Linked DNA regions of Lonchura striata. The protein of the gene in region 1 binds, or shares a complex with, the protein of each later gene. Links are inferred from orthologs where the notes say so. Each region holds a gene or a part of one and is shown on either strand. Other genes may lie near its edges.

Region 1 (6,848 bases):
CTCTGAAATAAGCGTGTGTGTGGGTATAAATGTGTATAGATGAAAGAGTCCTCCTTATGTTATAAAATGTTATGACAGAGATTTGGGGGGAAAAAATGCAAGAGAAAGAGTAATGGTGTGACAACAAGCCAAGGTAAAGGGAAAACAGTTTCTGCTCTTCATTCCTGAGAGAAGAAATCATTAGCAAACTGAGTCCTACACCATGCCATATATTTTCCATTTTTCCCTGAGGGTTGCTACAAATGCAGCAGCTGTAGCTGTGTGACACATAGACATACAAATCGCTGAAGTTGTTCACACTGACAGGAAAAGAGTTTTGTTTCGTTACCTTATGTAGTTAAAGCAGTGCAAGCACTAGGCAGAGACCATGCTTTATTTGCCTTAGCACTTTAATCTTGTCATTTGTTGCCATGTCTAAAGCATAGGGAGAAAAATGAAAAGCTTTCCTTGACCTGAAAAGCATCTCCTACCTCACTGCAATAAATCTGGGAAGTGGAGCTGCATCTCATTAGATGTATTTTGAGGGTTCGTGCTGGCTGGATTCTGCTGTTCTTTCTTTCACTGCCCCCATGAGTTCAATGGACACACAGCCTGGTCCCGAGAGCTCTCAGAAATGTCACTCTCATTTTCTAGTTAGATGTGGAAAAAAAGTTAAGCTGCATTTATTTGGGGTTGCTATCTAGCTGCATTTGGTTTTGTAACATGCTGAGTTTCTGCAGCACCTCTTGACTTCAGAGGCAGCCTCAAGCTTTTGCTTTTGCCAGTCAGGCCTGCCTGCATCTTTGGTTTGGTCACCTCTGTTATCTTTTTGGCACTCATCCTAGGAACCAAACTCTTCAGCAGTCACCTCCTGGCTGACCTGTTCTGCACGATGCAGAAGCAATGGAAAACCACTGCTGCTTCTTCCTAGGCTGGCTTTTTTGCAGGGATGTGCAGGTGCCTGGGGGCCTAGGAGAGAGTGTCTTCCCCAGCCATTCCCACCGGAGCACACATTTCCCAGATGGCTCCATCCCTCCCCTTGCCACCTGAAGGGGTGGCTGCCCCATACCATCCTCGTGCTGATCACTGGGGGAGCTGCTCCATGCCCAGAGCCAGGACGAGGTGGGGGTGTGGGACAGGCATGTCCTTGCAGATGCTGTGGCCTGGGCTGGAAGCAAACGGGTCTGGGTTAAGGGACTGCTCTGCCACCCCTGGGCAGCGCCGCAGACCAGCCCCCCATTTCCCCCCCTACCTCTGCTTTTCAGCTGGGAACGAAACCAGCAGCAATTATTCAAGCCAAGCACGTAATCTGGCAGATCCCGCGACTCTGGTTTGACGCAGCTACGCAGCTCAGTGTCTGGACACGCAGCCCAATCCCCCTTTCTCCCCTTGTTTATTCGCCCCGAAAAAAAAAAAAAAAAAAAAAAAAACCCCAAAAAAACCAAACAAAAAACCCAAAAAAAAAAAAAAACTGCAGCGAAGTTGCCAACTTGGGACCGCACCGAGGCGTTTGGGCGTCTGGGGTGCCAGGAAGTGGAAAGGACGGGCGGAGGGAACACCGGCGGCGCCAGGGGAGCTGTGGCCAGGAGCCGTGACGGGGCAGCCCGCGTTACATAAGGCGGCGGCTCCGCACCGCTCCGCAGCGCGGGGCCGGGCGGGGGGGGCGCGGGCTGATGTCCCCCGTGTCACGGCGCAGCGCCGCCGGAGCCCGCGGCACGCAGCGCCCGAGGCGCCCGCGGGCAGCGGCGCCGGGACACGGAGCGCGGCTGCGGGGAACCCCGGGGGGCTGCCGGTGGTCTCCGCGGGCGGGACCCGGCCCCGGGGGGACCCCGCGGGCTAGGCGTTATGTAACCCCCGCCTTCCTTGCACAAACACCTCTCCAGGGAGAGGGGCTGGAGTGCCAAACGCCGATTAATTGCAGGAACTGATGTTATTTGCCTTTTGTTGTTGTCGTTGTTTGGTTGGGTTTTGGTTTTTAAATTTTATTTCTCCCTCTTCTCACTCTGAGCTACAGAACCACAACTGCGCTTGCCCGCGGTTCTGTCCTGGAATGAGGGAGCACCGCCGCTCGCCAGTCGGGAATCTCTTCCCAGTCCCGTGTCCGGGGGGGCAGCCCCGGGGCGGGGGGCGCGGAGCCGCAGGGCGCTGCAGCACGGCCGCCTCCGCTGCCGCGGTGCCGAACGTACACAGACACACTGACACGCGCAGAGACATAGACACGGACGGCTCGCAGCCCCCGGTCCCGGCGCGGGGCCCTGCGCTGTCCGCGGTGCTGAGCACACACTCGGACAGACAGACAGACAGACGTCCCCGCTCCGTCTCGCTCGGGCCCGGCGCTGTCCGCGGTGCTGAGCACATGCACACGGACACGCAGACAGACACAGACACACGGACAGACACAGACAGACGCACGGACAGACACGGACAGACGCACGTCCCCTCCCCGTGCCCTCGGGCCCCGCGCTGTCCGCGGTGCTGATGCTCCGTCGCAGCCCGGCGCGCTGCGGGCGCTGCAGTGCTCCGGGCGGCACAGCCCGGGCCGGCCCAGCAGCGCAGAGCGCCCGCACGCCCTTCTCCCCGGTCGGAGCTGAGAATGGCGCCGGTTCCCCTTCTCCGACATTGCCTTCTCCTCCGGCCTCCTGCCGCCCGCGCGGCCGAGAGGCACAGCCCGGCTGCCTCCCCGGCTTCAGCCGGCAATGAGGCTGGCGGCGAAATCGCCCCCTTCTCCCTGCCTTTCTCTGTCCCCGCAGCAGCCCCAGAGGCTGGAGATAAAAAGCCGAGCAGGTCCCACTTTAAACATATCCCTTTTCTCTATTTCATTATCGTCAATACCGCCCCTCCCCCTGCTGAGCCGGTGCCCGCGGTGGTGTCCCACCTTTACCTGGGCTGGCGGAGCGCGGCGCGGCGGGGTCGGTGGGTCGGTGCCGCAGCTGGATGGGAGGCAAGGACAGGAGGCTGCTGACCTCCGCGGGTCTCCTTCTTCAATGGATCGGGAGCCGTGCCCTCATCAAAGATGGCCGTCCGCTCCTACGTCAGCAGCTTTTAATAGCCCTCCCCGGCGGGGGGAGCGGGAGGGGGCAGAGCGGGCCGGGCGGGTTTGAGTCATCGCCGCCGCACCGCTCCCGCAGCCGGCCCCGCCGCCTCCCGCAGCCGCCCCGCCGCCGCCTCCCCGGGGCCAGGGTCGGGGCGGCGGGCTGGGGGTGGCTGCGGGCGAACCGCCCGGGCAGGGGGGCAGGGGCCCTCCCGCAGCAGCGATTTCCTCCGCCAAAGGGGTGGTCCGAAGAGGGTATCCCTCTGAAGTCCCCGGTACTCCATATATGGCCAATCTACGTGGGCTTCTATTTTTACGTGTGAATTCTTCCTTCTCTCCCCTCTTTTTATTTCTCAGAACATCCTGCCAGGGGTCTGGGTGTGTTATTCTGTTTAGTCTCCCTCTCCTCCCCCCCCTCTCCAAAGTCGGGGCAGCCAAACACGAGGAAATCCATGGTTAAAGGACATGTGTTGTAACTGATCATTTGAGGGACAGGTTCAAAAATGAGAGAGAGAAATCAAAAACAAAGCCTGGACAAGTATATGAACACACACACAGCACAGTGAGCACATCCCACTGCTGCTGAGGAAGGAAACGGTAACTCTGTTAGAGGAAAAGTGCCTGGCTTATTTATCATTAATTAATTAAAATATTCATTCTGAGTGTACCTAATTTGGAGCAAATGGAGCTGTCTCCAGCGTGATTTCTAATGGGGAGGAAATACTTTCATTTCATACAAAACAGTGTATGTTTGTAAAATTTATCTCTTAATGGAGATCGTGATGAAGGTTGGGGATTGCAGTCAAAGTGCGATGCTCTTTTTCATAACCTCACTCATTCTTTGCCTTTCACCCCACAAGCCTTGGCTTTCATTTATGGAACCATTCAGACCAGGAGATGAGCAACGATGCCTCCCTGTTCCCTGCCTCAGCCTCTCCTGTGAGCAGTGAGTGAGCCCTGCCTGGGTTTAACTCTGACACGGTGTGTGAAGGCTTTTCTGAACAGTCTGTGTTATGGCAGAGTCAAAATATCAGTTGCACGTTAGGATAATTCCATCCTCATCCTCTCTTCTTGCCCCCCACTTTTGCCAAGAAGAAGACAGAAGAGAGGGAAGGCTTTGCAGCTGTATTTTGGAGCGCGTTCATCTCGTGTTATGGTTGTATGGGCATGGGGGAGGGACGGGGAGGGGAGGGGAGGGGAGGGAGGTGCGGGGGAGAAGGAGAGAGAATTGCGGGTGATTCCTCCTACCCTGCTCTGTAGTTCCCCACAGAAAAACGTGACTGTAGATCGTGCTTTGTGAGTCTCACCCTCTTCCTACGAAAATATGTCCTTCAGTCTCTTTTGAAAGGAAGCAGTCAAAAGTTTGCTAAATATACGAGAAGGAATTCTCAGTCGAGATGGGCTTCCTGCTGCATTAGAGTATCTAATGAGTTGTGCACATGGAAACCGCAGGGAAGGAGAGAACCTGTCATGTTCCCGGGCTGTAAACACAGCCTGAGATTAACACTGTGCAGACATCCCCCTCCAGGTGAGGGATCTGGAGCAGCAGCCTGATTGGGAAAATGCATTTAGCGTCATAAACGGCAGTTTGGGAAAAGAAACCTTTGCAGGCTGGCTCCCGCAGGGGTTAATTGTGCCCAGCACTCGGGTGAGGTGTGCACTGCGGATGGCAAGAGGAATCCCAAAGCGAGCCCTGCTCTGGAATCCAAGCTGCCCATGTGCAACTTCCTAGCACACAGGGAAAATTAAAAAGGAATTCTCAGTCAGACAGCTCGGTTGATGGGTGCTTCAGAAACAAGTATGATTTTCGAGACAGCAATACTAGCACTTATTATTAATTCATATTAACGGTAGGTAAGGGAAGGATAAGAGAGATTATAAACTGTTGTTTTGGCTAAGCCACCAGCCCTGCAAAATGCTGGCTGGGTTTGGATTCAGCCCAATAATGCCTCGGAGAAGAATTTCAGTCCATTGGATACCAGCAGGGATGAATTTAGCTCTTTGCATCAAAAGTCAGGGAGGAAAATGCAGTGAAGGCAAAATAAAATGCAGCATAACTTGGGGAAAGAGATGTAAGGAATGGTAAAAGGAAGAGACAGCAGAGAGGGAGTGGGAGGAGGATAAGAGGTAGTTTTCCAGTGAAAAAACTGGGATATCGCATTAAAAAAAAAAAAAAATTAAGATTCATTTTTCAGCTCTGCTGCAGCAGAAATCACATAGTTTAATAAAACAACAAAGGGCAGAATCATTAAATAGATCACAAACGTTGCCCAATAAGCTTAGTAGGAACAACTACCTTTCATTCTGAAAATGAGCAAGGGAAGGGATGAACCATGTGCTGTTCAGGAATGTGGCTGCCTCTATCCTGGGAGATGCAGAGGGGGGCAGGCTTTTGCACCGCAGCGCCGGAATTTCTGTCGCAATAAGTGCTACTAAACAATTTTAACTGATTCTTTAGCATCTTTTAAGGATAATTAAAAAAAAAAAAAAGAGAAAACACATGAGGATTTTATTGACTCTATCTAGTACTATTTGAACACTTGTTTCACACTGTGTACAGGGGATATGTGAGAAGAGAAACCTATAAATGAAGTAGGACAAGAGAGAAAACCGGAATTTGGTCTAAGAATGATTCAGCTCCTTCTAATTTATTCAGACAAATATTCAGCAGGCTTAACAAGCAGTACCTGTGGGCACAGCCCATGAATAATAAGGCAGGAATATGCTCTCCTGCATGACAGCAGCAGGATGTGTGCTCCCCCATCACTGGCCAGGAGCCAGAGAAGGGCAGAACAGGCACAGCCTGCAGCAGGTTAAGGGGGGAAAGAACGACACCTGCTTTGTCCATGGTTTGAGATCTGTGGGCAATGGGAACTTCCTGGCTGCTCACAGCATCCCCTCCAGTTCCAACTCGCACTCCTGTGTGCTGCAAAGCTGGGCTGTTAGGCAGCCAAGTGAGGGGAGCACCAAAATGCTCAAAGTGCCACCAGATCCTGGATGTTATTTCCTGCACTCTCTTAGAGTCAGTTATAACACAAAGACTGCCTTTAGTCTCTCCACCTTCCTCACACAGTTTCTTTTTTTTTTTTTTTCTTTTTTCAGCAGAGAGGGAAATATCTTGTTTATCCAAATGCTGCTCATCCTGGCCTCAAGTATGTGGTGGGAAAGAAATTGAACTAAGTATAAAGCAAATAAGAGAGTAAAAACGTACCTGCTTAAGCACTGAACATTTCCCAGCCTCTCATATTTCTGCCTGTTCCCAGGCTGAGGTGCTGAGGCATGCCCCAGTCTGATATGGGCTGTGAAATAACAGTCTAAGTATGGAGCCCTTTATGCAGAACTCCTAATTACTTTCTGTCATTCACTGCTCTTTATGTAACTCTGAATTTTGACCATCAACAGTACTTGCATTTATCTGCCCCAGGCTGCTTCTGATTAAATTGGAGGGAATGGCTGGGCCTAATTTTTCCCTGCATGTTCAGGATCTCTAGATACAGTTAGGCTGTGGGCTTTTTTAAGGACCTGTCTGTGATCAGGTACTCCAGTTTAGGCCAAACCAAGATTTCTCTGAGGTTTATGTTTAAAAATACAGAGATTTAAAATACAATTGCAACATAGACCTTTGGAGATGAGTCCCCACTGATTTCCTGATCACTCTTTTAGATGTGCAGAGTCAGATCCTCAAAGGTGTTTCCTGAATAGTTGCTTAAAGAGCAACCAGGACTTAAATATTTGGTGAGTCTGGGTTCCACTGCTGCCCCCAGCTCCCCCTGCCTTGGCTTGGTCCTTCCACAGCTGTGCTATAACCGTGTCATTTCCTTCAATGCCAGACTTCAGC
Region 2 (7,306 bases), on another chromosome or scaffold:
CTCCCAGTTTCCCCAGTTCTCTCCTCCCCATCACCCCCTCCATACCTGGCTTCACGGAACCAGACGTGCCCCCATCAGTGGCACCCCAGATCCCGAGAGCTGCATCCAGACCTGCCAGGGCTGGAGAAGGGAACGTGAACCTTCCTCAGGCAGTGCAGCCTCACCCGCAGCCACTCCCGGGCCTGGGGAAGGCGGCGGAATTCATCAGCCCGGCCTCGGGAAGCAGAGCCCCCTTCCTCCCTTCCTCCTTCTCTTCCTACCTTCCTTCCTTCCTTCCTTCCTCCTTCCTTCCTTCCTTCCTCCCTTCCTTCCTCCCTTCCTCCTTCTCTTCCTCCCTTCCTTCCTTCCTTCCTTCCTCCTTCCTTCCTTCCTTCCTCCCTTCCTTCCTTCCTTCCTTCCTTCCTTCCTTCCTTCCTTCCTTCCTTCCTTCCTTCCTTCCTTCCTCTCTTCCTTCCTCCCTTCCTCCCTTCCTTCCTTCTTTCCTTCCTTCCTTCCTCCTTCCCTTCCTCCCTTCCTCCTCCCTTCCTCCTCCCTTCCTTCCTCCCTTCCTTCCTTCCTTCCTTCCTTCCTTCCTTCCTTCCTTCCTTCCTTCCTTCCTTCCTTCCTTCCTTCCTTCCTTCCTTCCTTCCTTCCTTCCTTCCTTCCTCCCTCCCTCCCTCCCTTCCTTCCTCCCTCCCTCCCTTCCTCCCTTCCTTCCTTCCTTCCTTCCTTCCTTCCTTCCTTCCTTCCTTCCTTCCTTCCTTCCTTCCTTCCTTCCTTCCTTCCTTCCTTCCTTCCTTCCTCCCTTCCTTCCTTCCTTCCTTCCTTCCTTCCTTCCCTCCTCTCTTCCTCCCTCCCCGGCCCTTGCGGGCTCGGCTGGGACCACCTGGAGCGGTTCATTAGCACCGGCGCTAATTGGCAGCGACTGCAGTGGCAGCGTCACCGCGCTGCGGGCGGCGGGAGGGCACCGAGCCGGGGCCACCAGCGAGCCGGCCCGGGGGTCCCCGCTGCTGCCACCGCCCCGGGACCCGCTCCTTGCCATCCCCCGCGACAGGTCCCCCCAAACTTGCGCACGAAGCCATGCCGAGACCCCGCATTTCCTCGCCCTTTCCAAAGCCGGGAATGTTTCACCCCACGCGGAGCCCCGCAACGGGCTCCGGGCTGTCAAAGGGGCATCCCCACCCAAAAATGAAATTCCTTTGGCACAGCCAGCAGGGCCGGGGCAGCGCAGAGGGAAGCGTGTGGAGGAAGCGGCAGCAAGCGGAGCTGGAGCAGGGGATGGGGTTTGCGGCCAGGCGGCGGCTCCGAGCGCGGTGCTGGGGCTGGGGTTCGCTGGGTTCCCACCCTGCAGGTGCGGGCGAGCAGCTCCCACCGCATCGCCCGGCGCTGCCCGAGGCTGCTGCGGGCGAGGAGCGCCCAGCCGGCGCTCCCCTCCTGCGGGATGCCCGGCCCGGCGCCGGGGGCTGCGGCAGCAATTCCCGGAGCCGCGAGTGGGGCTCAGCCCCACGGCCCCAGGCCGGTCCCGCCCCGCGGAATCCCTGAGGCAGATCTGAGTCAGCCCTCCAGCAGCAGCTCGCAGCTCGCTCCATCCCTCCCGGATGAATGATGCATCATCAAATAGAGCCCAGTGTCACAACATTAACAATATTTCTTTTCAGGCTAAGCTGCAGCCTGGGCTTTTGATACCAGTAATTAAAGCAAATGGCTCATCTGTTCTCATCTCTGCATCCCTGGAGCCAACTGGCCGTGTTTATCTGGAAGCTTTATCTGGTTTTGGGGTTTTATTTTGTTTGGGTTTTTTTTTTTTCCCTTGCAACCTCACGGCGAGGGGGATCAGGCTGATCCACAAACACTCCCAGGATCCCGGGAGGAGCGTGGCACGGCCCGAGCCCAGAGCAGGGGCACGGCCGGGGCAGCTGCCTTTGCTCAGAGCTCTTCGAGCAGGGAAACGAAGGAGCGTTCATCATCACACAAAGACAAATTGCTGCTCCAGCTTGCAACCAGAATTACTAGAAAGACACCAGCAAGAGATATAAAATCAGGTGCCTTTTTTTGAAGAACCCATCCCTGGGAGCGACAGCTTCCAGCAGCCTCAGCCTGATTCCCGAGGCGGTTTTGCCTCCCGGAGGTTCCGGGTTACTCCACAAAGGTTTTTGGTTTTTTGCTGCCGTTCGCATCGCTTTGGTCCATCCTGGGGAACGAGCAGCACCTGCCAGAGCCCTCGGGCCACCCTGAGCCGGGCAGCGATGCCCTTGCAGAGCCCTACCAGGGAGCAGAGCACCCCAAAATGTGCCAGCAGCAGCGCCGGGGCGCTCCCCACATCCCCTGGCTGCCAGGATTCTGGGAAGGGGCTCGGCCTTGGTGCCACCGCAGCACACCCCAGCGACGGGGAAAAGAGACAATTTTGGGGGCTTCAAGCCCCGCAAATGCCCAACACGCCTGGAAGTTGTCCGCGCACGGCAGCACCCAGAGCCTCGCCCCACCCGCACCCACGGGCGCTGCCGGGGACCCGCTCCCCCGGCCACCCACGGGCGCCACCGCGGGCTGGGGGTGTCACCCCCGGGATGCCGCGACTTTCCCCGGGCCCAGAGCGGGGCGCGGGGCCGAGGAGCACCCCCGGACGAGCATCCCGACCCCCAGAGCCGCATCCCGATCTTTGTCCCTGCGGAGCCCGCGACGCCTCCTGAGCCACCCCCGCCACGCCGCTGCTGCCCCGCGGCCACGGCCCGGGGGACCCCCGATCCCCCCTTACCTGGGCCGGGGTGCCGGGTTCGGGGTGCCGGGTTCGGGGTGCCGGGTTCGGGGTGCCGGGTTCGGGGTGCCGGGTTTGGGGGTGCCGGGTTTTGGGGTGCCGGGTTCGGGGTGCCGGGTTCGGGGTGCCGGGTTCGGGATGCCGGGTTCGGGGTGCCGGGTTCGGGGTGCCGGGTTCGGGGTGCCGGGTTCGGGGTGCCGGGTCCCGCGGCCGCTCCCCGCGCACGGCCGCGCTGGCGCTGCGCGGCTCCGGTGGCAGCACTGCGGACGGCGCGGGGAGGGGACACGGGAGGGGACACGGGAGGGGACACGGGAGGGGACACGGGAGGGGACACGGCCGGGGCCGCCCCGCTCCGCGCCCCGAGGAGCCGCCCCCTCCCAGGCGCAGCCGCTCGGACCCTCTGGCTCTGCCCCTGGTTGGGGAGGGGACAGCGGGACCCCCTGAGCTCGTCCTCTCCTCCAGCCCATCCCCTCTCCGTGTCTTTTCCATTCGTTCTCCTCCCCAACCCTCTCCTACCCTCATCTTCCATCCCTATTTTATTTTATTTTATTATTTTATTTTATTTTATTTTATTTTATTTTATTTTATTTTATTTTATTTTATTTTATTTTATTTTATTTTATTTTTAAATTTTTATTTTATTTTATTTTATTTTTACTTTATTTTATTTTATTTTAATTTAATTTTTATTTTTAAATTTTTATTTTATTTTATTTTATTTTATTTTTAAATTTTTATTTTATTTTATTTTATTTTTTAATTTTAATTATCCCATCCCATCCCTCTCTTCCCTGCTCAGGTGAGACCCCACCTGCAGAGCTGCTCCCAGCACAGGGAGCCCCTGGAGCTGCTGGAGGGAGCCCAGAGGGACACAAAGAGGCTCCCAAGGATGGAGCCAGGCTGGGAGAGCTGGGAATGTTCTCCTGGAGAAGAGAAGGCTCCAGGGAGAGCGCAGAGCCTAAAGGAGCTCCAGGAGAGCTGGAGAGGGACTGGGGACAAGGGATGGAGGGACAGGACCCAGGGAATGGCTCCCACTGCCAGAGAGCAGGGCTGGGTGGGATTTTGGGATTTTGGGAAGGAATTCTTCCCTGGGAGGCCCACGGTGCCCAGCGCAGCTGTGGCTGCCCCTGGATCCCTGGAAGTGTCCAAGGCCCGGTTGGACAGGGCTTGGAGCAGCCTGGGACGGTGAAAGGTGTCCCTGCCATGGCAGGGTTGGAATGGGATGAACTTTAGGATCTCACACCCTGCCCACCTGCAGCATCCCCCAAAAGCTGTGGGGGCTGCTGCCCCTCCCCGATCCCTGCAGATCCCACAGCCTGGCAGCCCTTCCCAGCCCCGGGGACCTCCTGGACCACGCCGAGACCTCCTTCTGGCCAAGTCCTTCTTCCTCCAGCTCCATTCCACCACTTCCCATAAAAGGTTTTTCCCCAGTAACCCTTTTTTTTTTTTTTTCTGCAAGTAACCCCCCCATGAAAACCCTGCTTTTGGGGGCATGGCAAGAGAAATCCCCAAAGAGAGAAACCCTTGAAGGACGGAGCTTTTCCCTGCCTCCAGCCAGGGAAGCACGGCAGCACTGCAGGCTGAGTGTTGATCGGCATCAGCTGCATCCTCGATGGACATTTGCTTCTCTTCCAGCCCCAACTGTTTTTATTTAGCAAAAAAATTGCCTCGCTTATGCAAAATACTCGGAGAGAGCAGCACAGGGACTCTCAAAGGGATCTGTCCTGACACCTTCCTTGGAGATTCACAAAAAGCAGCATCAATCGGAAAATCAGATCTAAAAGTGGCTTTCCATAAAGGAAACAAAGCAACACCTGCGCTTGTCTGCTCTAAATCCCTGCCACTTCCACTCTCCTTTTATTTTTTTAGCCCCTCTTTGAAAATAAAAGAGCCAGTTGGAATTTTTTTTTTTCGGAATTGGAACTACAGTTTGGCAGTCTGGCAGATCCTCCAGCAGATCAAAGCAGGGTGGGCTATATATTTATTTATATAGTCATTTTTATATTCATTGATACAGTCATTTATTTATTCATGTATACATTTATTTCTATACTTATATGTATATTTATATATACACGTATATGTTTTTTTTATATATGTATATATATTTATTTATATATTTGTTTTATATTTATAGATTTATTTTGTATTTGTAGATCTGTTTTATATTCATTTTTATATTTAGTTTTTACTTATTTATATATTAATTTTAATTCATAGATTAAGTAATGATTTATTAATTATTAATAAATAATTAAAATTATTAATTTAATTTATATAATATTTGTAATATTTATACCATTATTAATATAAAGATGATGAAAGGTGAAAATAGTTCCAGTGGCAATGGATAAACTCTCGGAGCTCAGGCCCACAAAAACTCTGGATAACTCTGCTGCTGCTGATTCCAAAGCAGGGAAAACAGATCAGGAGCAGGTGAGGCCCTCCCTGAGCAGCTCCAGTGAGTCAAATGGAAAGGACTGATGGCAGCTCAGCGCCCAGGGACTTTACAGAAGGACGAAGCAGAACTCATGACCACCAGCAAGACTTAAAGGAATGATTGTCGCTGTCGAGGCAGGGCGGGAATGAAGAGAGACTCTGACCCAGAAGGCTGTAACACTAAAATACTATTTATTCAAAATACACTGCGCTTTTATACAGAGCTTCACAAGGATCAAATCCATTGGTTCTGAAAACAACTCACCCCATTGGTGTACAGTGCTTGACGCACAGTGATAGAATTTAGCTATAAACAATGTGAAAAACAAGAGAGATAAAGAATTATTTACATTCTTCTGCAGCTCTTTCCCAGGTTTTGCCTGGTTAGAAACTCTCAGTTCCTTTCTTTGACTGAATCTGAGACCCACAGCTGATTATCACCCTCTCCTCTGCACTCTGGCCCAGAATACCCAGAAATTTTCCCCCATTTAGCCAAGAGTGTAAGGTGGGTCTTGAGGAGGCAGAAAATACAAATTCGAATCCCGTCAGGCTCAATGAAGCATTGACCTCAGGTCTCCTATTTGCTGCCTTACTGTTTTAAGAAGGAAATCATTAAAGGTAGCCCGCCGTGACACCTTTCTCTCACTTCTCCAAGGAAGATCCTTGCTCAATGTTCTTTTCTTTTTTTTCTCAACATGTAGCTGTATTTCATTTCCAGGAGAGAATTTGGATTTAGATTGAGGAGACCTTGCTCACAACTCTCAGTCCTGTTGCCTAATTTCATTCTGATTAATGATTAGACATTTTAGACGTTATTAGATACTTTAGATCTAAACACTTTAGATGTTGTTACATATTTATTTCAATTAATTGACATTTATTTTACTTAGTTTTCACTCCTGTAAATCGCTGAGCTGCTTCTCCCACAGATCCCGATGGATCTGCCTCCAGGATCTCCCTGGAATGTGACAAGGACTTTAACTCCTCCTCGGCGTGTCCTGCCCATCCCACCCACCAAGGGCTTTAGAGGGATTTCCTTCTTGGAAACACGAGAAAGATGGGAAAGGATCCATAAACCAGAACCCCAAATCCATCTCCAGCCTCCCAGAGCAGCTCCACGCTGGGAACGACTCCTGGGAAAAAACGGGGAGGAGAACAGAGCAGGAGAATGGAGGAGTGATGGGAGCAGCAGGAGCTGAATCCAGCGAGGTTGTCCCAGAATTTCGGGGATTACACAGTTTGAATCTCCTTTTTTCCAGGGGAGAAAAAGCCAAGGCAAGATTTAGGCTGGAGCGGGAGAAAACCATCCCTGGGATTCGCAGCTGGATCCCCCCCGTTTCACCAACACCTCCAACCCCTCCAGCCCACCCTGAGAAAACACCAAAGCAGGCACAGGCTGGAGGAGACAGCCTTGATTCATCCCCCAGTGAAAGTTAAAAAAAGCTGGGTTAAAAACAAAAAAACAAACCATGAGAAAAGACGAATGGCATTTTCCCCCCTCGTCCCTCTGCTCCGAGGGCTGGGGAAGGGATTTTCTCCTCTGGAGAAGCTGAGGAGAAGCAGCACCTTGGGAGGGTTCCAGGATGTTTTTCACCACCCCCCCAACCTGTCACTCCTCTGCTCCCAACCTGCCAGGGATGCCGGGGAGCTTCCAGCATCCCTCCCTGCTCCCTCTCACCCTGGGTGAAAAATCCCCTTTCCCAGGCACCTCCTGCCTCACCCCAGAGCTGAGAAATCCCACGGGGACCCCAAAGCCCTCAGCAGCACCCCCATGGCCCCTCCCCGTGGTGGCCCAGGCAGGATCTGGCGTGGCAGCAGCTCATTACATCCTTTTAATGAGATCTGTGCTGGTTTTACATCCATTTCCCATTCCTGATAACGCCCCGGCCTATAAAACTGCACTGTTCCCCTTGCCGAGGTGAGGGGAAGAATACATTTCCGAACACACTGCCTGCATTAATTTTGCAGCAAGTGCCATCAAAGATTTAATCTCCAGCTCGTCTCTTGTTAATGGGATTAGGAGAACTTATTTACTGATTTAATTAATTGGCCTGTCTTGTATTCAGCTGCAGGCAGGGGCCCGGAACCTTCCTGGTTTGGGGCTGAGGAGGGCTGGGCATTGTTTCATTTTGGAGG
Region 3 (7,870 bases), on another chromosome or scaffold:
GATATGCAGAAATATTTTCTTGTCCTTTTCATTCCTATCACAAACTTTAATGTCTCTTCCACAGCATGTAATGAGGTTGCATGCACCCTTTATTCAGAAAGCAGCTCCTAGTAGAGTTTATCTGTGTGTTCAAACATGCATGCAAGTATAAAACTACATAAAAATATTTTTTTAAATTGTAACCAGACTACTGAATGGACAGGAAAAGACAACAAGATGCTAAATAAGAGCTTCATTTTCATATGAGGAAACATCAATTAACTGAGTTCTGTACAGATGAGTGGCTTAAAAACTTCTGCCAAGACACTAAGCTGCTCCTTCTTTTTACTTATTACAGCCAACCCTGCCGAAAGACCATAAAAATTGATTTTATGTTTCCGGTGTCTCTATGCTAGCTGGAAGAATATAGATTTTTTTTTTTTCCCTAGGTTTCTGACAAACAGAACCTTCCCTTAACTCACACCTTCACTACACTAACCAACACTGAGCATCTTCTTGGTCATCTCTTACATCTGATCTGTTATGATTAAGGTAGGAGATCATTTCAGATTGCTAAACACTGTTCTATATGGTTTTAAAGGGGTTCTTGCCCATCAGTGTTACACTGAATGCTGTATGCCACTTGTACTGCTGTGGCATACATGGCAACTGATTATTTTTCACATTTGTTTTAAGGAAGTATTAGAACTGCTGTTAGTCTGTGAGCTACCTCTTTAAATTCCAGTACCAACCCTTAAAATGGATTTAGCATCTTTCACATCAAACATTAATAAGGCTCACTTAGACGCTCTTAATGTGAAGGAAAATTTGGCTTGTATGAAATGGCTACACGGGAACACTTCATGCTTTTGCAAGTGCAGGAGTATGATTATTTCCTACAGTATGTCATTATCTTATGCCCTGTGGTTCTTTTTGAAATTATCTCTTCTCACTCAAGCTGCCTACACTATGTTTTAAAGCTATATAGTTTCAATTTATGAATTGTATGCATGCAAATTTTGAGCAAATATACCACAAGCCAAGTAATTCACCACATTAAAGTATATTTCCCTCAACACTACTAATAGAACTAAAAACCCAAAAAGCTTGGAACCAAAAGAGATACATATTTGTCTCAAGACATAAAATCAGGTCATTTGTTTCCAAGACAGACAAGAAAACAGTATTCTAGACACATGTGCAATCTCCTTACGCTTTTTCCAAGCAGGTTTTTTTAAGCATGGCAGGGGATGTCATTTCATATCCTCACAAAGCAAATTAATTCACTGCCTACTTGTCTTTGTACCCAAAAGCTTCCCCCTCCCTTTTTCAGGGACACTCCTAAACCAACTGCCCATCTGTAACTCTAGATGTCAACTCAACAGGGAAAGGAAAGTCCCCTTGAGTCTGCCAGTACCTTCTTCCTTTTCTTAGGATGAAGTAACTCTCCCGGACAATAAAGCAATTTAAACAGCGCGTAACAGATTAGCATGCAACATGGATGGCACACTGCACAGCAGCTCTGAGGATCAATATCACCACTGCAGATTAGGAGTCTACTTGTCATCTACAACATGTATGCGTATCTGGAACTACTCCACTGACCTTTGTACAGAAAATATGGTTTCAGAGACAGTGAAATATTATTGCACTACAACATTTTGCATTGAGTTTACAAGGTAATAAAGACAGAACTACTTATTCACACGCAAATGGCTATTAAATAAGGAAAATAAAACTTGACATCCCCCAGACAATCAAAAGAAATTATTTATTTGGATGCCAACATCTGTCTTGAGATTGTGGCCAAGTGCTTTTCTGTGCTCATTTAGGACTCTACTTGGAAAGCTTTTCAGTTACATCTACCTAGAGATTTCTCTCTACCACTTCCCATCTGACAGAAATCACTCAACTGGGTCTGATGAATAATAGCAAAAGGCAGCTTGTATAAGAGATGATTGAATTACAGATTGTTGAAAGTGCCATAAAAGCTCATTCCAACGACTACATTTAATTTATTTACTATACTGACTACCAGAAGCTAGTAGTCGTTTGATATCTTTATTTCAGAAGGCTAGAAACAAAAGAAACATGAACATTCTTTGTCACTTTCTTACTACTGTACCTAGTGGAGTTTGAATAGGCAAAATTAACTTTTAAACAGAGCGCTGATCCCCAGCTCATACCGTGTGCACCTAGGAACCAGAACTGAACGTACCCAAACCAGAGCAGGGCAAGTGGTACTCGGCATGAAGGAAAATGAAATTGCACGGAAAGAAAACACATTAGCCTGACAGCCTTTCTAAGTAATGACGGAAAGGTTTTCGTGAATTGATACATAAACGATTAGCTGTTGTCCTGCGGTCCGGAGGGGAGACCAGCACCGGGGGCGGGGCGCACCGCCGCGCCCCACCGCCCTCCGCCGGGGCGGCCGTCGGGACAGAGCACCCTGCCGAGGGCGGGGGCACGGCGGGGGCAGCGGCCAGGCGACACCCGGAGAAACAAGTTGGCCCGGCGGCCGCCTCGGCGCCGGCTCCGGGCAGCGGTGCGGAGGGATGGAGGGATGCGGAGCGGACGGCTCCCCTCTCCTGCAGCCGGGGCGGGGGGCGACGGCGGAGCTCCGCGGGGGCGGAGAGCAAGGAGGGCGGCGGGGGGGGGGCGCGGGCGTCCCCTTTGTCTGTGTCGCCCCTCCCGTAAACGCCCCCACCCCCGCCGGGAGCGCCCCGGGGGCGGGCCCCCGCCCCCCGGCAGTGCGGGCAGAGCCGGCGGGCGGGCGGCGGTACAGCCGCCCCCGGAGCATGTGCGCTCCCCCCGCCCGCGCAGCGGGCAGCCCCCCCCGCCCGCGGCGACGCCGCCCGGGCGCGGCTGCGGGCAGCTCCGGGGCGCTGCCTTACCTGGCAACCGGGGCGGGCGCAGCCGGCTCCGTCCTTCAGCCTCTCCCCGCGGCGGCAGCTCCCGGGGCGAGGCTGCGGTGCGCGGCGGGGCGCGGGCGGACCGCCCCCGGCACGGCAGGCAGGCTGCCCCAGCCCCCTGCGCTCGGCGGGCAGGCGGCGCGCCGGGCGTTAAGTTTCAGCGGCGGTGGCGGCCGCCGGCGGGCAGGGCAAGGCGAGGCAGGCGGGGCGGCGGAGGCGGCACGGGGGCTGCGCGGCGCCGGGAGCGCCGCCACACTGCAGCGTCTCCAGGAATCCCTCCCGCGAGAGGCAGCCCATCACCCCCGGCCCGCCGCCCTCATTGGCTGCGGGGCGGGGAGACGCGCTCCGCGGCCAATCGCCCGGCGCCCACCGAGGGTGGAGCCGCCGCGCCGGCCTCGCCCATCCCGCGGCCGCGGGTCCCCGTCCGCCCCGTCGGGCGGGGCCGGGCGGCCGCGGGCGGAGGAGAAGGATGAGGATAGGGAGGATGAGGAGGGTATCCCCGCGCGCGGCGGGCGAGGCTGGCATCCCCGGGCGGCCGCGGGGCTGCCGCTGGCCGGCACGACGCGCTGTACCGCAAGCCCCGCGGCCGTCGGGCGAGCCGGGTGCCCCGGGCGAGGCGCGGCAGTGCCCCTCGCCCGTAGGTCGCGGGGCGGCGGCGACCCCCGGCAGGCGTAGTTGGTACTGTTAGCGAGCCTGCGGCGCGCAGCCCCCTCTCTGCCGCCGCCCCGGGCAGTCGCGACCCAGCGGGGTGAGTCGTAATTGGCTTCTGTGGCTTAGGCGAGAGCAGACTGTATCGCGTGTTCAGGTAAGGACGTGCAAGGGTTAACCTAATTCCCTTGATCCATCCACTCTGAACTGGAGCTTTGATTAACACTGGTCTGCAAAATGTAACTGTAACAAATTCAATTAAGGGAAGCACATTTCTTCAACTTTTAATTAGATCTATCCTATTTGTCTGATGTTTAATATAACATAAAAAGTTGCTCAGGTTCCAGAGGGAAATGGAAATAGATTTAGATGTAAGCTTAGCTTTTAAAAACACAACAGACTAAAGTTCTTTGTTCCTCAGCATATATTACTGCTGCATTTATACCCTCAAAGAGGATAACAAGCAATATTCCTCAAAGAGGAGGAAAACAATTTTACCTGCAAAATTGTAAACACAACAGGGTGGTATTTCTGTATGTGTTTCCCCTAACCTTTAATTGGTTACAGGGTACTGAACATACAGGTTGTAGCTCAGGTTTGATGTGCTACTGTATATGATCCTGCTGGATTACAGTTGTTCTAAGAAAACTTAAGAAAGTAGTAATATATTTCACAACCATTTAGTCAGTTTCTGTTATTACACTGAGAGTGAAAAGTACCTAAAGTACATCTTAATATAGATAGCAGATGTTGGCAAAGAGACCAGCCCGTATGCCATCGTCAGCAGGTAACTGAGAAAGTCACACGGCCCCCAGGCACATCTCATAGGTGACTTATTGTGCTTTCAATAGAACTGTATTCTGCCATTCCCCATCCATACTTTCATGTTTGGATTTGACTCTAAAATTCACAGCCCTTTTCCAGTTCAGTTTTTCTGACCGCATTTTTTCTTAGGTCTGTTATGTCAGAATATCAGTTTTTCTTGTATGGGCACATTAGACCATGAGAGGAGAGAAGGAAAGCAAATGCAAAAGAAATTACATTGTAAAGCTTTTACTGAGCTATGGAAAGGAGGAACAACCATAATTTAAACTGCATATGCAGAAGTGTCACTTGTGTTCAGATTACCCTGTACGATTTAAAAGGATTGCTGTTTTCTCTGTACCAATACAAGAGATACCAAGGATTATTTTCTCCAGGAACATTTATCTGGTCAGTTAAAAAACCCACACATTTCAGTGCTAGTAATTATGAGGACTTGATGCTGAGTTCCTAACAGCCACACAGCCAGAAGTCTGTGGGAGTCTGACATTCACAAGGCATGACACATCATATGCTGTCTTAGTATTTGAGCAAAGACAAGAAACATCACTGAAGCCCAATGGCCCTTCCTTAATGTACAGATAGCAAGGAACAGAAATGCTATCTAGTAGTAGTCCTGAAGAGTATACCATCACTTTTGCACTCTCTGACTGGGGTAGCCCATACATAATTGTTCTGCTATGTTTAAAAAACCTCAAAAAACAAAAACAAAAATCCAAACAAAAACAAAAACCAACCAAACAAAAAACTTAAACCAGCTGTCGAAGTGGCTGGGAGAGTTTTTGCCTATTATTTTCTGAGCTTGGTTGTTTGCAATGAAAGAATTGCTGAAAAGTTGCTTCCTTCAGTTTCTTTCAAGTTCAAAGGTTAATTCATACAGAAAGTGGTTTTCAGTCCTGCAATTTTTATTTCACTACTGCATTTTCAAGGAAATGGGTAGTTAGTATCCAGTCATTATGTTAATTATACCAAAGGAAGCTGTGAGGCTTAAGGAATGACATACATATCCTGAATGGACAAAGATGCTCTAGAAGAGCTCAGGAGCCATTTGATGAATGCTTGGAGTGCTAGCCAAATGCTAGCCTCTAAAATCATGAAACATACATGACTGTATTTGTTATTATTAACTCTTCCATGGTTGTGTTTAGGGAAGAAGAAAGGATCCTATTATGAGAAAAAAGAAGAAACATGCAAATCCAGAAGAAATTCTATTGTAAACCCTATTTTGTTGCTTTCTTTGGCATTTTAATTTTTTTTATGTGTTTTAGTGCATCAGAAGATAATTTTAATTACTGTCAGCCATTCAGAAGTTCCATCAGGTATCTTGCTACATAAAAATGGAGAGCTAGGCTCCATTATATTCTTCATATGTTCTGTTTTTGTTTTAGACTTAGACTGAGACAAAGGTACAGGAGAATCAGGCAAAATTTTGAATAAAAAGCAAGAGCAGAAATGATTCCTTGTTTGTTATTTTTATTTTTCACTTTCTGTATATTGTGACTTCAAGATTAGAAAGCAATATGAGCCATAAAAATTAGATTTGGAAAATGAAAGACTCCTGCTTGATCCATAAAGAGGGAGGAAGCCTGGGCCAAAGCAAATGAAACCAGTATTCTTGGGCCTATCCTGGCAAGTTCTATGGCATACGAAGAGCAGATACTAGAATGGCAGTCACTGAACTGAGGCTAATTCAGGAGCAACAGGAGTTGTTACACATCAAAAAAGCAATCAGGTCTTTGACTTTTTTCCTTTTGTAGGTCACACTTTGTGTGACCAAGTATCACAACTGCCACAAATAGATGTACAAGATGGGAAGTCAGGTAAATAATGAGAGCAAATCACTGGCAGATAAATAAGTAAATAAAACTGGTAGCATGTTAATTTACTTACCAGGTAGATCTGTAAACTAACTGAACTGGCTTTCTGTGTCACAAGGTTACAGATCCTTGTCTTTAACAGAAAAATTATTTTATTTTGTTCTTCATTATAATGTCATTTACTTCTGTTTTGTGCTTTGATTTGGTCTTTTCCATCATCAAGTTAGTTTTTAGAGAAGTACTTTTATGGGAAGATAAAGGAATTGGGTTTTGCTTAGGGAAATGGAACAGCTTTTAAAAATAGGCTCTTATTGCAGTAGTTTAAGAATGTGTTTCTGAAATTTCTTTTAACATATTAATGGCTATTTATTGTTTTGATGTTTTTTCCAGTTTACTGGGTATACAAGGGCTGGTCTGTATAGCTGAGAATTAAACACTTGGAATCCCATTTTGGTGTTCTGTTGTCACACTCTTGGTTTCAGTAAAGTTTACATAATACCTACTGAGTGGTGATGATGCACTTAGAATGAAAGACATGAAAGCAGAGAAAGAAAGCTATGTCCCTAAAGTGACAATTAACCTTCAGTAAAATTAATAAATACTGGAGTAACTATTCAACTATACACAACTAATGGAAGTGTTACATTAAGCAAATCATCTTTGAAGATTATTTTTCTAACAATGTATATGATTACCATTTAGGTAGAGAGAGTGGAGAATAAATGTTGTGGGTTTGTGGTTTTAATTATAGCTAAAAATCAAAGGGTAAAATCAAAGAACTTGTTAGTCCATTCACTGATATTTGTCTCAGTTTGTCATCTGATTTCATTGTTTTCTTCTGTTTGATCTGTACACATCTGCTGCTGCTTCTAAGTTGATTAGGCAGAGATGATCTCCTTTAGTCTGCATTTGTATAGCAGCTGACACTGAGAGCTCCTGCTTTGTGCCCAGGGCTCCTGGACACTATGGCAGCAGAAATGAAAATGAAAACAGAAGTACTCTGAGGGGGTGTTCAAGTGTAGCCAAACCAACTTGCATATGCTTTGCACAGATGTCAGCTATGTAATGCATGAACTGATCTGAGTCAGTGTCAGTCTGTTCCCCTGTAGATGGTGCCCCTAGTTCAGGGATTCTCTTTTGGGTTGTCAGATATGCATTCCTAATCCCCCTCCCCTCTTTGAAAGTCAGTTTTCACCAAAGAGGTGCTCAGGATGGCACTCCAGAAAAAAATACTTTTCAGTTAAGCTAAGATGAGCTGAAGTCCCAGTTTCCTTTTCAGGCACAATCTACTATGTAAAATGACAAACTACTGAACTCTTAGCTTCCAGAACACCCAGATATTATCAATCTTCTTACCTTATGGCTTACTCAATGTAAAATTTCTAATCCACAGTTACTGTATGCATCATGGATGACTGTGTAATAAAAGAATGCAAAATGTCATTTCTAATTTAATTTTTAGGAGTGACCTTGCAAAACAGGTGGAAGATCTGTGTAATGGCAGTCAGTGTTACCTCTGAGGAGAGGGCTGAGACTTAAACAATGTTTTTTCAAATCAGTATGAATTGACTATCACAATGCACATAAGAGAGCACATTCCATGTCTCCAATACAAATTAAGCATAATTCTGTATGGAGAGACTCAAACAAATTGACTTTTAAATGCAAAATATGCTTATGTTTACACCACCC
Region 4 (7,380 bases), on another chromosome or scaffold:
CATCCATTCCAAATCTAGGAGAAACCCCCATTTTGGTCAAACTTACTAATAATGATGACGATGATAATGACAACAACACCTATCAATATCGCCCACATCTGTGAAAAAAAGACATACAACACTTACTACACAGCATGCAACAGCACCAAAAGCCCCTCAGGGTACAGGAAAACAGCCCCTGCAAGGGACTTTTAGCACTGGTTGTCAGATCTAATGTAGCAAGCAAAGGTTCTTCAGTCAGCAAGCTTAATCCACTACTAGCACTCAGAGGTGGCAGGCCATGCACACAGGCAAAAAGAGCAATATGACTTTCTCCACATAAAGCCTGTCCCAAGTGAATGCACAAGCTGTTCTGTTACTCACCAAAGATGAATCCAACCTTTGGCAACAGCTACAAGTACAGGAGTCTGAGTGAGCTTCTTCCACTTTCTAATACTTCCCACACATTAATTCAAGCTATGCATTTTTAGCTTTTTCTTCTTGTTTCTCAAAGCCTCAGATTACTGACATGCTTCCCTCTGGCCATTATCAGACAAGATCCTGCCTAGGGCAGCACGGCCGGTAACACAGCTGCTTGTTACTTTAAAAAGTAATGCCATGCTTTAAAAACTAGATGCTGTGACTTAAAAAACATTGGCTAAACATTTCCTGCCTTTTGAAACACAGATGTGACAGCGTTACAGGCGCAGAGTGAGCACACAAGCCGAGGTTACCTTGCAGTTCTTCCACCAATACTTCCTCTTCAGCTTGGCAGCGCTGGTCTCGAACTGGGAAGCCCCTGCTTGCAGGGCATCAGCACGGTCATCCAGCTCTGACAGCTTCTGATCCCGCTCCAAAACCTTGTCCACGTTCACTCTCATGATGTCAACAACCTACAGCAGTTCAACACTTACAGTAAGTGGTGTGCAACATAATCACAGACAGCAAGCAGCTGCACGAGGTACTCCGTGCTTTCTCAGAAGCAGGAGCTATTGCCTTTTAGTATATTCAGCCATAAACTTCAAGAAAACTATGAAATCCACTTATGGCTAAAAGCCCTGAATGCCTGTTTTAAAAAGTCAGTAGTGCTGGCATGCCCTCAGACCTGGGAAACAATTCCTGACTTGCTTCAGAAGGAGTTGAGGAATATAAACATGATAGTAAACCATGTCAAGAAATACTTGCCAGCCTGGCTTTTGGACTCCACAAGAATCACATTTGGTAGCCAGCTCTCATGGCTATAAACAAAGGTTTTTGTCATTACTTATGCCAAATCTTGCACCAAGACTGCAGCTGATGTTTGGACACTGGGAACTTCTGTTTGCTTCCCCTTCATATAATGAAGGGAAAACTGCTCTGGAAAAAAATATCCCTTCTAACTGCACAGGTTTCCTGCAGGAAGAGGCTGACACTACTAGCAGACCAGACTTTTACCTCGTCTACTTGGTGCTGGGTTTGCTGAAGCCGGCGATTGCTGCCAGCAGCCATATTTGAGCTTCCAGGGACATTGGCCGACCTGTGGTAAAGAAAGGCACCATTAGACATCTGACAGTCCTGAAAATGGGACACTGGTATCCATGTAATAAATACAGGGCACTTTCTTACTGCAGAAATGGTGTTTTAACAGCTGTCAGTGAGCACAACTCATGCAGTGTCCCAAACATCTTGTGAACAAATTGCATGCTGTCCCAAGAGGCAGCAGTGGCTTGCTAACACCACACATTGCAATGAGGCAGGGGTCAGCTCCAGCAATGCTCCATAGGCCTCAGTGAGCAATTTGGACTCAGGGTGTTCTTTCTTTCCCATATGAACACAGGTACTAAGTTTCAAGCAATAGTAGTTTACAAAAAATAAAATACAAAAACTTAATACTTATTATAGCTATGTGATTTTCCAGTGACACTTCTGTATTCTTTTGAAATGGTTGATATGGAACAAGAGAATGCACCAGAAGGAAAAAGTATTTGGAAAACACAAAAATTTACTTTTGGCCAGCTTTAAATTCGTAACAGAGTTCTTTTTACCAGCTACAACACTCTGCATCTTTATAACGGATGCAAGAGCTTCTGTACATACTCTTCATTACCTTTTCACCACCTGGCCAGGTTTTAATGCACATCTCTAGAACTATCAGCACTCAATTTCCTTTTCCATGTTCTTAGCTCTTTCACATCAGATGTGAAAGCTTGTTTAGTGCACCCTGGCACTCCAAGCAGCCAAGTCTGTTTCCTGTGTATACACATTTAGACATTGGCCTCTAACTGCACGTAACGAGTGCAGGCACAGCGCGGGAGCCGGGGCAAGGCTCGGAGCCGGCACAGTGTCACTGTTTTGGCACCGGAGCCGGGGCAAGGCTCGGAGCCGGCACAGGGTCACTGTTTTGGCACCGGAGCCGGGGCAAGGCTCGGAGCCGGCACAGTGTCACTGTTTTGGCACCGGAGCCGGAGCAAGGCTCGGTGCCGGCACAGTGTCACTGTTTTGGCGCTGGAGCCGGGGCAAGGCTCGGTGCCGGCACAGTGTCACTGTTTTGGCGCTGCCACCACCCTTTGGTGCCGCTTCAGTGCCAGGTGAACAGCCTCGGAAATGACAGCGCTTCCTGCGAGGCTGCAAACAGAGCAACGCCCCGGTGCCGGGCAGGGCGGGCCCCGCTCCGAGCCGCGCCCGGGGCTGGCGGGGCAGCCCGGCCGGTGCCCCGCTCCCGGCCCGAGCAGCGGCTCCGGCGGGCGGCCCCGGGCTCGGCCGGGCCGGGCCTCGCCTCCGCCGCCGGCCCCGCCGCGCACCCCTCCCGGCACCCCGCCCGCGGGCCGGACCGGGCTGGGCCCTGCTCCCGCCGCCGCTGCGCCCGCCCCGCTGCCCGCGTCCCCCGCTCCCCGGATCGCCCCGCTGCCCGCGTCCCCCGCTCGCCCCGCACTCACATCCTGGCGGTGGGACGAGGACGGGGCGGCGGCAGCGCCCGGGCGGGTCCAGCGGGAGCTGCGCGCGGCGCCCGCGCTGACGAGTCACGGGGCGGGCTCGGGGCGATGGGCGGGACCCGGGCCGGGCTCGGGGCGGGCGCGACGGGCTCGGGCCCGGGCGGGATAGGAACGGGGGCGATGTGCGACGGCCGGGACCGGGACAGGACCGGGACGGGGGCGATGTGCGACGGCCGGGACCGGGGCGGCGATGGACCGGGGCCGGGGCGGGACCGGGGCGGGGGCGATGGGCGAGAGCGGAGCGGGGCGCGGGGCGGAGTCGGACCGGGGCCGGGCCATGGCCCTGCCCCCGCGGGCTGCAGGGGCGGGGCTGCGGCCGCTGCCGGGCGCTGGGCCGGCACCGCCCGCCCCGGGCGGGCACGGGAACGGCAACGGCAACAACGGAACGGGGAGAGCGGCCGGGCACGGACACACGGACAGACACAGACACACGGACAGACAGACATGGGCACACAGACGCACACACTGACAGGGGCACGGACACGCGGGGAGGGACGCACGGACAGACAGACACAGCCAAGAGCGTTCCGTGCCGTTGTCACTCGTGTCCGAGCGCTCCGTGCAGCGCACGAGGGGAGCCGGGGGTGTGTTTGTCTTTGTCCATGTCCTTATCTTTGTCCTTGTCCCCCGCCCTGGCTGCAGGGCCGCCCCGCGCTCGCCGCCCGGTCCCGGCGGGGCTGGAGCCGCCGCTCCCGGCAGCCGCACGGAGCTGTCGGTGCCCCGAGCAGGGCCGGTCACGGTCACACGCCGGGGGTCGGTGCTGCCGGCAGCGCTCCCGCAGGAGCCCCGGGGCTGCTCCGCCAGCGAACACCGAACTCCGCAGGGCACCGGTGGGAGGGAGGCGCTGGCTGCCTTTGCACCACGTATTCTGAGTTATCTTTTATTTTTCCCCTCCTTATCAAACTTTATCTCATCCCGGGCATTTCTTTTTCCCTCATGTTTGGTCTTCAGTTCTCTCCCGCGATGCCCCTGGGGATGAAGGAGGAGGCGCCTTCTTTCAGGACTGGGTCAACCCGCCACGATAGGAAAGAACCCAGCAACTAACAGCTATGTAAGATGGAAAAATGGGAGCGATTTGGAGAGTTAAATGCTGATTTATTCTAAAAGAGAAACGTAATCAAACTTTCTCTGCAGTCAAGAAGAAACTCTTATTGAAATCTTCAGTTGTGGAGCTGGGTTTTGGAAAAGCTTACTCATGATGGTACTAACACAGTCTCTGACAGACCAGATAATTAATTTATTAAACCTGCTTTCAGGTTTTGCCTGCTGGGCTTGCCATTAGTCTGGTACAAGTTTTGTTCCCGAGGACCAGTTCATGTGAGCGGAGCAACATACTTATTAGCGCAACAGTTATTGTGTCTCAGTTAATTGTATCATTAAATGTGACCTCTCAGGTTTCTGCATCAGCAGCCCTCTTGAATTCTGCTGTTTCACTCTGCTTTGTGTACACTGTAGGATTTATTTTGCTACCAGCTCTATATGGTTTCTCACAAAAAACCTTGGAAGTGACTGCCCACTGCAGAGGAACTGCAAACAAAGTTCTGGGGGCTGCACCTGCTCATGGGCAGGCTGTGGACTGTTACATCATAACCTGTAAGAAATCAGATGCAATATTCTTACAAGCAGGTCGTGTAGAGCAGAAACTTTTTTTTGTGTGTGGTTCCTTAAGAGTGACTAAAGGACTACTTTGTTCTCAAAGAAGGATGGAAGAGGTGTTCAGAAGAAGAGACGTGTTCAGAAGAAGGCACACACTTTGTATGGGGAAATTTTCTTTTTTAATTTACAGCAGAAAGAATATAAAGCATTCAGAAAACATTTTCCATATTTTAAGGGCAATTCAAAACATTTTGCATGGTTCCAGCAGCTGAGTTCTTCAACAGATCCATTGATTCAGTGATGCTTTACATGCACAGTTACAAAAATAAAACTTACAAAAGAGAAGACATCTATACTAGTTTTACATGCAAGTCTTGGGGACCCCCCATTGGGCACCAGCTATTGTGTGGAACTGCCATAAGCGTGCAACCAGAGAGGGGGTTCATGTTATATTCTGTATTTCTTTCACACAGTATTACTGCTGTCGAATGTGTTTCACAAAGGAGCGATTCTATTATCAGAAGACAGAAAATCTGGCTCCTGGCACTTGGGAATTTGAATTTTCCTAGAAAGCTGCACTTACTTATCTTAGGTGAAAATGTTAAGTTCCACAACCAAGAAGAGGGTTCGAAGAATCACTTCACTGCGGGGGAGAGCTGCTCCCTCCCCAGTGACACACTGAAGGGTTACGGCCCGACACAACAAAGCACTTGGGAGCTGAACTGGCTCCAAGCACGCCAGGAGTCCTGGAGCTGTGCTGCAGAACTGCCTGCATGCTTCACAGCCAGCACAGGCTTAAACGTTTGGCTGAAGCAGGATCTAGATTAGTAGATACACCACCAGGCCCATGGATCTGGAAGAGTAATTTGAAATAGCTCTGTATATTACTGAATCGTTTTCTGTAAAGACGAGGAGTTAAAACATTTCCACTGAGGTCACTACTCTTGTTTGGAACAGATCAATTCTATATTGTCACGTATTGGTTAATGGGTGCAGTATTTCAGTTTCAAAATGTCAAGAGTTCTTCCAGTACTAATACAGAGCATTTCCAATTCATTCCAAAGGAGATTCTCCAGCGTCTCCTGTTCTGTTTTGGTGTGAGAAGAAAATTTAATGGTTAATGTTCCAATTGCAGACAGTAAATTGAGGCCACGAGGCTGCCCACAGGCACAGTGTGAGCGCCAGGCCATTTGTTTTGCTTTTTTCCCTTTTTTTAAAATTGAATCAGGTCATAAAGCAGCAGTTCAGAAATGTACAAGAGAATTCTGATAATGAGCTATAGCACATCTACTGTAATTCAATGCTGGCAGTGAAAAGAAGTAATTAAAAACAGGTACAATTATAGAAAAGGCACCAAGAGCACTGACCCCAGTTTTTTTGCCACAATCTTTGTTTTTACTCTTCTTTTAAAGACACCAGTTTCAAAGCTTCCTATGTGTGAATATTTTTTGGCTTCACAACAAGCCTTGCGTTTAAACATTGCAGTTGGTGGCCGGGATCAAGCAAGAACAACTATTCCAAAACTAACAATCTCAAATTTACACAAGTTCATTCAGAAATTTTAAACTGCCACGAGTGAGACAAACAGACAGGAGCAGTTTCTGATCTCAGACACATGTACGTGACCCACAAGTAATGACACGGACTTCAGGAGTTTCTTCCCTTACATTCCTGTGTAATGAAGATCAGAACTGGTTCCCATTGTTGAGAATTTGTGACAGTTTTAAATTAGTAGCTCAATTTAAAAAAAATCTAATTTCTTTGGCTCCTCACTATGTGGAAATAGCAATATACCATGACACCCCTACAGGATCAGTTTGCATCTTTTTTTTTTTTTAAGTTTTACTTAATTTTTTAAAATTTTTTGTGCAATTTTTATTACATTTTCTGACTTCCAGCAGGAGATATGAAAATGTGAAACATATTTTCTACTTTCGTACTATTTATTTATTTTTTTTCATTTTATGTTCATTCTAAGTGTTCTTTATTGGAGTGAGTGTATGGTGTTAAGCTAGATACGGTTTTTGTACTCTTATGATTATCTGCTTTGCAAAAGTAACTTAATTTTCTTAAGCAATATTAGCATTCACATTACTTGGCACCATTGGCAAAAAAAAAAAAAGGAAAAAAAAAAGACGGGGGTAAAAAAAAAGAAGGAAGGAATACATAAATTAAACCCAACTGAACCAAACTCCTGGTAGCCAAAATCAAATGTAAACATATCCTTTTTTTCTTTTTTTTTTTTTTTAAAGTAATGTTGCTCTGCCTTTTTTTTCCTAAGTCTAAATACAGTAGCTCTTTTTTGCCATTTAGTCATGCTTTAGCAAAAATGTTCTTCTAAAGAACATTTAAAATAAAGTTTCTTATAGTGAAATAAAGTTTTTGTTTCATTTTACAGACCATAGCCACTAATGCTTTGCTTTGTTCATTTCTTTTTCTTGAGTTCATGCACATATCTCTTTAATATATACAATATGTACAAACAATACATCCACACTCTTCTCGTTCATTCAGACAAAACTATACAAATAATAATTTTATCTTGCCAAGTTATTGACCCTTTGTGAATAAAATATTTAGTAATTAATCAATATATTCCCTTTCAAATATTTTTTTCTCATTTTCCATTTCTACCTTCTATATATACAGAAACTGCCCAGATTTTGATGAAGTAGCCAAAATAAGAAATTTACTGGCCAGAATGCAGCACCACTGATCTTTAGGTGGCATAAAATGTCCAGGCAACATATGTACGTGACTCTGCAAAATGACAAGAGGTTTGACAAGTACATAAGAGAAAAAGCTACATGTTTTACAAATTATTTGAGAACTT

Evidence for each region.
Region 2: the proteins of SNAP25 (region 1) and RPH3A are in contact, whole or in part, in a crystal structure (PDB 5LOW), measured with the Rattus norvegicus proteins. The link is inferred for Lonchura striata from reciprocal best matches to the Homo sapiens genes SNAP25 and RPH3A. Residues at the interface, in NP_112253.1 of Rattus norvegicus: Glu38, Asp41, Ile44, Arg45, Leu47, Val48, Met49, Asp51, Glu52, Glu55; in NP_598202.2 of Rattus norvegicus: His617, Ser618, Ala621, Ile648, Ser649, Ala650, Lys651, Gly652, Leu655, Tyr659, Leu662, Lys663, Lys665.
Region 3: the proteins of SNAP25 (region 1) and SYT1 are in contact, whole or in part, in a crystal structure (PDB 5KJ8), measured with the Rattus norvegicus proteins. The link is inferred for Lonchura striata from reciprocal best matches to the Homo sapiens genes SNAP25 and SYT1. Residues at the interface, in NP_112253.1 of Rattus norvegicus: Lys40, Asp41, Ile44, Leu47, Val48, Asp51, Glu52, Glu55, Gln56, Arg59; in NP_001028852.2 of Rattus norvegicus: Cys277, Arg281, Lys288, Val292, Leu294, Glu295, Asn336, Tyr338, Asn340, Arg398, Arg399, Pro400, Ala402, Trp404.
Region 4: the proteins of SNAP25 (region 1) and VAMP3 are in contact, whole or in part, in a crystal structure (PDB 5KJ8), measured with the Rattus norvegicus proteins. The link is inferred for Lonchura striata from reciprocal best matches to the Homo sapiens genes SNAP25 and VAMP3. Residues at the interface, in NP_112253.1 of Rattus norvegicus: Asp147, Leu150, Glu151, Val153, Ser154, Ile157, Leu160, Arg161, Ala164, Leu165, Met167, Gly168, Ile171, Asp172, Gln174, Asn175, Ile178, Asp179, Ile181, Met182, Ala185, Asp186, Asn188, Lys189, Ile192, Ala195, Asn196, Ala199, Thr200, Met202; in NP_476438.1 of Rattus norvegicus: Ser15, Arg18, Leu19, Gln21, Thr22, Gln25, Val26, Glu28, Val29, Ile32, Met33, Asn36, Lys39, Val40, Glu42, Arg43, Lys46, Leu47, Glu49, Leu50, Arg53, Ala56, Leu57, Gly60, Ala61, Gln63, Phe64, Ser67, Leu71, Lys74.

The regions. Positions count from the first base shown.
Region 1 is NC_134605.1:23,467,434-23,474,281, forward strand, and holds the start of SNAP25 (synaptosomal-associated protein 25), read right to left. Parts: upstream 3,003-6,848; 5' UTR 2,861-3,002; intron 1-2,860.
Region 2 is NC_134620.1:11,540,203-11,547,508, forward strand, and holds the start of RPH3A (rabphilin-3A), read right to left. Parts: upstream 3,004-7,306; 5' UTR 2,732-3,003; intron 1-2,731. UniProt on the Homo sapiens protein: Plays an essential role in docking and fusion steps of regulated exocytosis.
Region 3 is NC_134607.1:48,122,951-48,130,820, reverse strand, and holds the start of SYT1 (synaptotagmin-1), read right to left. Parts: upstream 3,003-7,870; 5' UTR 2,874-3,002; intron 1-2,873. UniProt on the Homo sapiens protein: Calcium sensor that participates in triggering neurotransmitter release at the synapse. May have a regulatory role in the membrane interactions during trafficking of synaptic vesicles at the active zone of the synapse.
Region 4 is NC_134626.1:4,507,279-4,514,658, reverse strand, and holds the start of VAMP3 (vesicle-associated membrane protein 3), read right to left. Parts: upstream 3,001-7,380; 5' UTR 2,897-3,000; coding exon 2,895-2,896; intron 1,496-2,894; coding exon 1,414-1,495; intron 873-1,413; coding exon 714-872; intron 99-713; coding exon 47-98; intron 1-46. UniProt on the Homo sapiens protein: SNARE involved in vesicular transport from the late endosomes to the trans-Golgi network.